2 linked regions of the Arabidopsis thaliana genome follow. The protein of the gene in region 2 interacts with the protein of the main gene of each other region in a pairwise test. Each region holds a gene or a part of one and is shown on either strand. Other genes may lie near its edges.

Region 1 (6,685 bases), on a different chromosome or scaffold from region 2:
CTTCTAAGTTTGAGCAAACTTTTAAAGGCAAAATAGATTAGTCTATGTTTAAATTAGCACGTTAAAGCTAGCGTTTGATACGTTTAAAGAAAGGTGAATACATCTAAAGCAAATAAATAAAATGTTAGAATGTTGTCGTTTACCAAAATATATGACTCAGAACTGACGCATTTCCTTATATGTGTGTCTCTTCGTTGTTTTCAAATCTCATCTTCTTTGTCTTTTTCTACCCATTTGCCTTCTATGTTGCAATCAATCTCAGTGCCGATTTCTCAATCCAACATGCATCTTAATACAGTTGTACTTCAAAAAGAGAAGAAAAGAATAAAACCATCTCAAATTATTATGCTACTTGAGTACTAGTTAATCTATTGGACTGACAATAATAATAAGAAAAGTCAAAGATAACATTTGATAATAGAGGTGACCAAACAGAGTTTAGAGAGATCTCAAGAGCCAAGACATTGCTTGAAGTAGAAAATTGCATAAAGTTACGATTAGGATTTGTTCAAGAATCATTTCTTAGACCAAGAAACAAAGAAAAAACAGGTTACAGTGAGCAAAAGTAAACCCTAATATACATAAAACACTATTCGACTAGAGATAATTAATCACTGATCTGAGCATTTCTTGTTATTACAGTTGCAGCATCACCGGTCTTATAGAAATTGGGAAGAAGAACACACAGAAAGAGCAAGACCTCATCTGATCATATCCTGTCTCTTTCTGAAGGGAAACTCTCTGAGAAGCTGTTGTGGCTGAGCTCTGTTGAACACTCTTACAGCTCTCTTCGAGCTTTTTGATGCACACACGTTAATGAGAGTCTCTGCCGTTGAACTTATATTCAAATTTTGTGTACCAATCTCATTCGGATTGCCACTGCAAGCTGTGTGACCTTGTTTGGATGGTAGAGAACCGCACAGACAGCAAAACAGACAGCGAACGTAGCGATTAAGAACATAGTTTGACGGGACCTGAATGCTAAAGCTGAGTGCGTTTTTATACACGACTTCCTTGGCCAGTCTCCTATGTCATTTACGTTCATGACAACCTCTTTGTTTAACAGAGGATCAGTCTCTTTTCCGCCGCTATCTGGTGAACAGTCTGCCTGTATTCTCTCTTTACAATCTAATCCTGCTTCAGGATCCTGTAAACATAATAAATGGCAAACATTAAATAACAGAAACTATGCAAATAAACCAAGAAACAGACACAATATTGTGCGCAGACTCCTGTAATATTGTCACAATGTGCCAAATATACCATAAACACACAAAAGTTAGTGTTCAGCACTCAGGAGTGGAGCAAGAAACCAAATGTGCAAGACAAGTATAGATTGTGGGCAGAGTCCAGTATAGATCAAACAGGAAAATAGGGGAAGTCAGATAATAGTGAAAAACCTTATTGAAGTTTAATATTCTTGATGGTATGTCCTTCTGACTACTCACACAACAGCAACCTGACGAAGGAGGATTCACCTTTGACTCTATAGGGCTTTGATGCTTTCTGTGAATATCACTCGCCAAATCCATATTTTCATGTAGAAGCCTCACGTCGCAGTCACAGGTACAGTGAACAAGACTGTCTGGCTCCATTTTCTTCACCAAAGTTTCCAAATTGTGCAGTACGTTTCCTAAGATCGACGCTGAGTTATTCTGTATCAGATAATTCAACACTCTGTTGTATCTTTTTATCTGACATCGGTTCACAGGTTGCTCAGTGCGTTCTGCAGAGGGTACCTTCACCGACCATGCAATATCTAACAAGAGGCCACTAAAGGTGCTCTGTCTCTCCCCAAAATCCCTGCAACAGCAAGTCAAAGAAGAGCAAGCAGTAACTTCTTGTCCCTCTGGAAAGAGTGTAGCATTGAACTTCTGCTCTATTAGTTTCATTTCGGAACAAACAGCTGCATCTCCAATAATTAGAGGTATGAAATTTGATAGGCCAGATTCATTTTCAACCTACAAAAGGATTAGATGAGGATCGTATTGAAATGAGCTACTTCTAAACTGTATATCATCAAACAAATGGGTACCTCGACAAAGGCAGGGCCAAAGAGACTAGGGTCAGAATTCACAATATTGATCTTGTAGAACTTGTTATTACAAGAACGCTTCCCATCCTGGTCCGGTGCAGGTACAACAGAATAGTTATGTGGCAAGTACTTCCCAGAAAAAGACACGAGAAACCTACAATGAAACCATTATCTGTAAGCAGCATGTTTTTCTTTCGTATATGGAACAGTTTAGTAATCACAAGTGATAAAAATCAAACCAACAAATGATGGGTAGTAATCGAAATGCAACATTTTGAAAGTTCTTGCAATATCAGCTTCCTCATATGAGAAATAAGACAGAACTAGAAATGCGAGAGATGTCTGAAGCATAGCTCAAAAAAAGGGTTGACATTAATACCGGCATTTAGGTTGCAGAAGGTTTTGTCCACATACAACGAGTTCAATTGGTTTTCCAGCTTCAAAACATGTAGGATACACAAACTGAAGTTTCGGCGACTCTAATTTTACATCGACTCTCTTTAAAGTTGTTCCACCTGTCAAAACCAAGACAAATAAGTATTAGTTCACATTAATAGCTCACGACATTATGGTTATCCAATATGATAGAGTGAAAAAATCCAGAGAAAACAAGTAAAGCACACCAACTTGCCTTTAATAAGACGGAAAATCATGTTGTTCAAATAGACAGTCATCGAGCCTCTTCCAAACAGCATCTTTCCAGGTTTAAGAATAAATTCATCCAGATATGCCACAGGATCTTTAGATAACTGTTTACAGGAACAAATTGGAAAAGTTTATTACAGTGCAAAGTCAAAAGAGAGTTCACGGGAAGAGATACTAAGTTTGCATTTTCTCCCTCCAGGGCAAAAGCTTCCAAATAATGGACAATTTTTAGTAACAAAAGAACTTCAGGTCACACAAAAACGTAAGAGCTTTAATGTGTATATGGTACTTAAGAGGGTAAGGTGCATAGAGAAATAGAGCATATCTCGAGACTACAACCTACTGAAAATAAACAATTTCTTATGTTGTGTCGCGGCATCATGAACATGAAAATGATGAGTAAAAGATAACAGGATGTACCTTCGCCCACATAATCTCTGGCATTGCTATAAAGACAGTCAAAATTGTACATCCTGGGCGGATATAGCCCTCCAGCTCAACAGGCATGTTGGCCAACCATTGAAATATCTGCAAATTCAAATTAATCGCAAGATATTAGTTCTTTGAGATTCTGAGAAGGTAAACATAGTCTTTGAACACTAAACTGTAATATATAATTCTTGAGAATACTTGATGACGTAGTCTCCGTGGGAACTCCGCTGGATTCCAATCGTAGAGCTTAAAAGAGATCCGACCAGTTGGACACTGCAATGAAATGGGAAATTAGTTCATTAAGTGCACCGATGTTTTTGATGTTAGAGGCTGAAGAGAAACTCACCACAGTTGAGTAAGCACTTTTGTTGTCGCCATTAGAAGGTGAACGTTCAAATTTTGTGTCATTCATTCCTTCATCTGGTTGAGCTTCACCCGAACCTGTAACAGAGACAAAGTTGTCTGCGTTGATGCTTCGGGTAAAAGGTACAGAACCCTGAGTGGTAATATGCCGATCTTCAAAAATCAATGAAGGCTCTTCTTCAGCTCTCTGGTCACTAGAGCATGTGATATCTGCTTCAAAATGATAGCATTGACAATCGAATCAGCTTGAATTTCCAAGAGAACTCTAAACGTTGGTAACTAGCAAAATATGCAAAGCAAACAACTAAAACAAAGAAACCACATGGTGATATGATTTGAGATTTGCGCAGTTCACTTATACCTTTTCCATCCTCAACATCAATGACGCTGTTATCATTCTGTGAAAGCACTTGCTGTTGTTCTGCAGCAACACCTCCTTTATCTACAGGTTTCCTTTTCCGTCTGTTGTTGTGACGCTCTAGCTTTCTCCGACAGCTGCGTTTTCCTTCATCAAAGTCCGGGAGCAAATGAAACCTGCCAGATAGTACTACTCACTATAATGATGGATAACAGCATAGATTGAAAGAATTAATACAAACAATAATACTGCTAAACAGAAGTTAAGCTCAGCTTATGCTCAACAAAGAGACTAAGTAAATTCCGTGGGATCATTCAAACTGATCAACAGTCTCTCCCAAAGTTATCCAATTTCTTAACAATAGATTCAAAGTCTCTATCCCAATCAAACAGACAACAGAAACCCATCCCGATCTTCGATCATTTTGTGCTGCAAATCAAATCTGAACAACACCTAAGTCAAACACACACAAAAATCCCAGGAGGATGCATAGGAGGTTAACTAAGACAGTTCCCGCTGGATTCACCTATCAAATCCAATTCTTATTCTCAAAGCCAAGAAAAGTAACATACTTTCCACACTGTTGACAGTATCTCTTATTCTCTCCATCAAGCACAACAAAGCTGGCGGTAGCGCAACGGAGACAAACCCTATGCCTCTTATGGTACCCTTTGAGCTCGCTAATATCCGCTTCACAATCCGGAACCTGACATCGAGCCACGCCCGACCCGCCGCGAACCCGTTTCTTCTTCGGAAGCTCGGCGTCTTCCAATTTCTGATCAAGCTCAGGACACGAACAAGGAAGCATACCTTCAATGAAATTGGAACAAATCAACCTCGGGTCTCGCTTCCTAACCCGATCCGAACCAGAACCCGATTCTTCCGGAGAAGGATCTAATTCAGATTCCGCCGGAGTTTGCGTCGGAATCAGAGGCGGTAGAGGAGGAGAGAGAACGGGAGGGAAATGAATTTGATCGACGAGAAGGCGTTCGTCTGCGGCGAAGTCAAGGAGATCTCCCCAATCCCATAAAGCGGAGGAATAAGTGGAAGGATCATCGTTAACCAATGCCGGGGGTTGGATATCCATCTCCGGCGGTGGTGGCGATTGCGACAGAGAAGACATCTGAGAGTCTTCAATTTCTGATAAAATTCAGAGAAATATTGAAAGGTCCATCGGTTGTTGAGGAAGTTGGTGATTTTGGTTGAAGGTTTTAGGTAATTTTGCACAAAGTCATCAACATCTCCGAATAATGCATTTTTACATTACTTTTTTTTTTTGACATCTCAAAACTTTTTATTTCTTGAGTTATTTTATGGAACTAAATAAAATAAATTATCTAAAATAGTCTACATTTTTTTTTTATCTGTGGAATGACTCAATCAACAGAGAACTCGTTGAACTAATAAACACAATCATGATTAGTTAATCGTGCTTTAATAGTTTATTCACATATTCTTTTTTTTTCTTGCCTAACTTATATAATTCAAAAATTCTTTGCGGCAAAAGACAAAAATCCGAAAATTCATCATTTCACAAATAGCACTAATACTATTTTTTTTTTTTAAAAGAATGTTTTAATTCAAAATTAATTGATAAAAATCCTGAAAGATCCATTATCTTTGCATAATGAAAATGTTAAAATCATTTTTTGATTTACGATGTGAAATATTCTGACAGATGACAACTTAACACAACTAAAAGTAGTTTGATAATTGATAGCACAATCGACTCGTTTTGGAATGGTTATTGCATATGGTTCAACTTATTACATCTTGTTATATAATATCCAAAAAGGTGTATTTATGTTTTACATTAACCAGAAGTAGATTGCTTGAAAAAATTGTAATATAGAAACGTTCTTTTGTTGCATAATAAACAGAATTCAAAAGAAAATTCTTAGAATTAAAAACCCTAACTACAGAAAAAAATTTTGGGAGACAATATTTGGGACACTTGGTTATATAATTAGCCTATAGGTTTATATTTGGGAGTCCCTACTTTATAATTAGCAAAAGAAAAAAGAAACAAAAAGTGGCCAAGGAGGAGGTGTTGAGCTATGTAGGAGGAAGTGTCGGGACGTGAGAGACACGCGCTAAATGATGGCAGCACATGATTGGTTGAAGGGAGGTTCGCGTGTAAGCTACGTGAGTTTGAGGAAATCAACGGTTCATCAATCATTATCGAATACGACGTCGGTTCAGTGTTACTTGGGACGTGAGCGACCCCAAGTGCTCTCTCTCTCTCGCTTTTTTTTTTTCTCCAATAATAACGGTGGTGGAATTTTGGTCTTCTCATTCCAAGCCATTCACCACCAGAAAATAGACACGTGTCTCATCCACCATGTGCTTACTAAGTTACTATATACCCTTTTGTGCTTTATTTTGTTTTGTTTTCGCAGACAGAAATATGACATGGTTAATGATTGGTATTAAGAATATGTGCTATGAAAATTGGAGATTAGCCCACTTTTCGGATGGGCCAGTCCGGGCCCAAAAATAAATGATGACACCATGAACAATTTAAACATTAACCCACATATGAAACCGAGGAAAAACACAAGGGTCTGGTAAGATTAAGAACCCGAGTTCGATCTCTGTAATTCAATTGGAGATAAAAACTACTGATTGTCGATTGAGAGCTTATTCTTAATGTATTGAATTACTCCAAATACGTCTCGACATAACCACATAGGCTACAAAAGTTTAATAAGATGAAATTGCATAATAATTGAGACTTGATGACGCTTTCTAAGCACAAAACTGACAAAAGAAAATAATATAAAAGATGTCCGTATACACATTCAACTAGGGCTTACAGCGTAAGAATCTTGCATTACAAGGCATTTTCTTGC
Region 2 (3,944 bases):
TCATCCTAAAGAGTCTAAATTTAGAACTTTGCATGCCCACAAAAGGTTAGCCTTTACATACCAAGTAAGACCACATGAGAAAACTGCTTATTCAACTAAACCAAGGAGTAAGGACGGTGGAAGGAGCAACCTAAACTTCTAATAAACGGTAGACTCCAGATACAAACAAAAACTAATGAAACATACACAAAACCTTGAGAAAGGACTAGCTTCAAGGGCTGGTCAGAAAACCCAAGAGCGGAAACATACATAAAGTTATGTTGTGAGTCTTCTTTTTGAAAATCCCAAATATGCAATCATTGTTTAAGGCTTCTTTTCATAAAGCTCTCAGTCCCAAGAGGTTATGACCAATACTCAATGTTGAATGGGATAAATAGCCCATAAGCGAGGACTTGCACACCGCACGCTATAGCAGAGGGTGCGCTTGGAGTAGAAGAAGTTGTACACATGCTGCTTGAATATACTTTGTCGTGTTTGTTTGTACACACTGAGTGAAAACCAGAGCGATTCATGTAGTTGTGACTTGTGACATAACAAAAAGAGAAGAAAAGATAATCCTTCATTAGAAAATAAAGATCCAATCAGAGTCAAAGAGATGAGTTTAAGAAACATTCTACAGTAAGAAGTCCGACACCCTTAAAAGACTAAACCAGATAGAAACCTAAAACTGACTCCAATAACAACTTCAACACCATAAGAAGCTGGGAAGCGCTATGTAGCTCAATCAATTGTAACTTTCCTTGATGGCTTGGGGGTCCTGTCAGATAATATCCCACTAGGAACCGTCTCTTCCATCACCTTTGGGACTGTGAAATTGAAATCTCCAAGCAGTGCATACTTGTAATCCTGATTGGCATCGATGAAGGCTGCGATTTCATTACGAGACTTGAGCTTCTTCCCAGTAGGAGTTATGTAGTACGCATCCATTTTCGAGTAATCCTTTCTCAGAATTAAGCTCCTTTTGAACCCTCTTGGTGTCCTCGGCAAGCCAGGCTTGTCGATGACCCATGTTCTGGAGGAATCATAGTTTAGATCTCCAACATCTTCACAGGACACACCTTCTTTCGTCTTGCAAAAAAACGGGTCCTCTTGTACTCTACTTCTGATATCTTCATACTCATCTTGAGTATCAATCTTCCTCCACTTCATGCACTTCTCACACTGCACAGCAAAGACATCTATCGACCTCCCTGGAGTACCGGCTTTTTTCTGCACCTGCACAATACAAATATGGAATCTCGGTGAAAAGAAGAACAGTCACTCACAAGCTACTTGGATCAACAGAATCATACTACAAATCGTTTAATATATAGCAAGATGAGAAAACATGCGTAGAGAAACACAAAAGTCAAAACAGGGACACCACCAAAAGAGTGATACTGAGAACATGCAGAATCAAAAACCAAATTTGAAGAAAAGGGTCACTGCGAAACCTTAAATAGCATAAATATTGATTAAATTTTATACATAACTGATCAGCCAAAGACACAACGAGAAATAAAGTTATAACCTTTATGTCTGCATCAGTTCGTCAAATAACACTAGTAACTAAGTCTTCGAAACTGGTTGAAAAAAAACCTTAAGATTCTCAACTAAAACCCTAATTAAGAGATAGAATTCAATGATAAGATCTGTGTGGTAAAGAGAGACCACAAAGCAAAATTGAAACCGGGTTTAGGTTTAGTGAGGTTTACCTTAATGGTTGTTGGTTCAGCTGATTTCTCAGTCTGCTCCTCAATCTTACTTCCAGATGAAGCAACTGATGAGTTTTCCGATCGAGACTTCTTCAAGTTCATTGCCGGAAATGGTAACATTAAACCTTCAATTTCAAGCCCTAAACGATCAGTATAACGAAGCGAGAGAAAACTCCAAAATTGCGAAATTCAAGTACGAAATCGAATCAAAGAGCAGATTCAAGGAGAGTGATCCAAAAGTTCATACCTCGAACAACGATTCAGATTTCCAAAAATCTCAGAGCTCTTTGTTAGAGAATTTGAGAATTTTTCTTTGAACCCTTTTTAATGCAATGTTTTTTTTTGGCCAGCAGAAGAAGAAAAAATCTTCTCCAACTGTATTTACAGATGTCGAGATATGATTGGTTCAATGCGACACGCAGACCATTTCTGTAATTTTTAATGGATTTTCTACTAAACAGGGCATAATAATTAATTAAATTTCCAAGTGTTTGTTAAATGGTTGACTCTGGATTTTAAATATGTACATATTTGGCCAAAATTATATAGACCAGAAATTTAGTTTTTAAAAAAAATTATTTTAGTAAAAGTATTACATTATAAAATAACAATAAAACAAAAAAGGACAAAAATAATTATTTTTGATTCGATCAAAAACATACAGAAAGTATGTGGTACGTCAAATCTTTGATAGTTACAGTACATCATTCACGTGTCGTGATTTTTTTATTTTTTATGATAAATAACATGTTATTATTATCAATAGTGAAAAAATGAAAATGGTATATTTAAGCAAATGTGAAAATGGTATATTTAAGAAGTTTGAGAAATTTCTTTTCACGAAATAAAAAGATACAAATTCCACAATAGGCACTAATCTTTATAATACACAAGACAATGTTTGATATAATATTTGATTGATACATACACAAAGCAGAAGACACACTTCCAAAAATTTCAAGTTTGTAAGGTCATAGAGACTGAAGCGGCTCTGTCTCGGACTCCGACCTGCTCGTAAAGTCTAACCCTCCAAGTGCTGGCAACTTCTTCTTATCGTCTTCCGTGTACAATGGCACGAACCAATACATTTTATCACTTCCAAAAACCTGATTCAACAAAGGAATAGAGACCAAACTTTTTAAAGCTTTCATTGTGTTCGATGTCAAAGATATTATCTAAGTAGCGGGGAAACGAATCAGTCACTGAAGAACGAGTGAAACAAAGAAGATGGAGAGCGAACCTGTTCAAAGTTTGTCTTACGACCAACGTTGTATGGCCAGTTCACTGTATGCTTCTCATACGCCTGAGATTAAAGAAACCATTAGTTTGGTCAGTGAGTTTATTGACATGGAGATTCCTGAGAGAACCCAAGTTAAGAGCAAAACCAAGTGAGAGTTGTTGCTTTACCTCAATAGTTGTGGTGTTACGAGCGACCAACATTATGTGCATTATTAGGAAGCCTAGGACACTTAGGGCAAATGCTATGTTCAATACTGGAAAGCAAGAGAGTGAAGTTTTTGAATCAGATGGTAACGTTAAGGTGTTCTGAAACAAAAACGGAAACTGAGATTTCTATATCTTTGAACTCACCAAATGCAACAAAGCTGGCTGCTAGGCTTCCTGGTGATACGGTTATATCACCATCTCCATCGCTGAAGAATACGAGGAAAATTGGCAATAGTGATACTGCAACCACCGTTGTCTCAAGAAATGTGTAAAACTGCATTTTTGAGATATTGGGAATGGATTATGATCATGGCAACATTAATGAACAGAACATATCAAAAACAACTTCGTTCAGCGATGCTATGATAAGTTGACATACCAAGAATAGGAGAAATGATTTGTAGTTATTTGCACCAACACAATTCACCACCCAAACACAGTGATGGTCCATCTTTAGTATGCATCTTCCACCTGAAAACCCAATATGACAACTTTTTCACTACTAAAAAACACATATACCGGATTCAAAGAAAAGAATCACTCATTGAAGAGACTTACAGACTGAACAATGGTGAGAACGAGGCGGTTTATATTGATTGCACTTTCTACAATATCTTACACCATGAGACGAGGAATCTCCAACCGAAGCTTCTCCAATCAAAGCTTGGTTTCCCTCGCTTTTCTCTATGTCTAATTCTGGCCTCCAACCCGTTGGAACACCACCAGGGTCCGTCACAACAACAGAGAAATAACTCCACAGTAGCATTATAAGCTGCAAACAAAACAACAATCATAAAAAAAATG

Evidence for each region. The genes of interacting proteins can lie anywhere in the genome.
Region 1: the proteins of MBD1 (region 2) and SPL7 interact in a two-hybrid assay, tested with the Arabidopsis thaliana proteins (one large-scale study listed by BioGRID).

Annotation. Positions count from the first base shown.
Region 1 is NC_003076.8:6,274,387-6,281,071, reverse strand, and holds SPL7 (squamosa promoter binding protein-like 7), read right to left. Parts: upstream 5,083-6,685; 5' UTR 4,957-5,082; coding exon 4,406-4,956; intron 4,010-4,405; coding exon 3,837-4,009; intron 3,686-3,836; coding exon 3,459-3,685; intron 3,386-3,458; coding exon 3,311-3,385; intron 3,209-3,310; coding exon 3,101-3,208; intron 2,785-3,100; coding exon 2,667-2,784; intron 2,551-2,666; coding exon 2,415-2,550; intron 2,190-2,414; coding exon 2,036-2,189; intron 1,962-2,035; coding exon 1,401-1,961; intron 1,148-1,400; coding exon 860-1,147; coding exon of another isoform or gene 845-859; exon of another isoform or gene 776-844; coding exon 710-775; 3' UTR 505-709; downstream 1-504. UniProt on the Arabidopsis thaliana protein: Transcription factor that participates in reprogramming global gene expression during copper deficiency in order to improve the metal uptake and prioritize its distribution to copper proteins of major importance.
Region 2 is NC_003075.7:11,946,701-11,950,644, forward strand, and holds MBD1 (methyl-CPG-binding domain 1), read right to left. Parts: upstream 2,105-3,944; 5' UTR 1,942-2,104; intron 1,820-1,941; 5' UTR 1,815-1,819; coding exon 1,695-1,814; intron 1,216-1,694; coding exon 721-1,215; 3' UTR 510-720; downstream 1-509. Other genes in the region: AT4G22750 (DHHC-type zinc finger protein), read right to left, coding at 2,666-2,800, 2,935-2,997, 3,102-3,187, 3,285-3,414, 3,520-3,611, 3,699-3,912. UniProt on the Arabidopsis thaliana protein: Probable transcriptional regulator.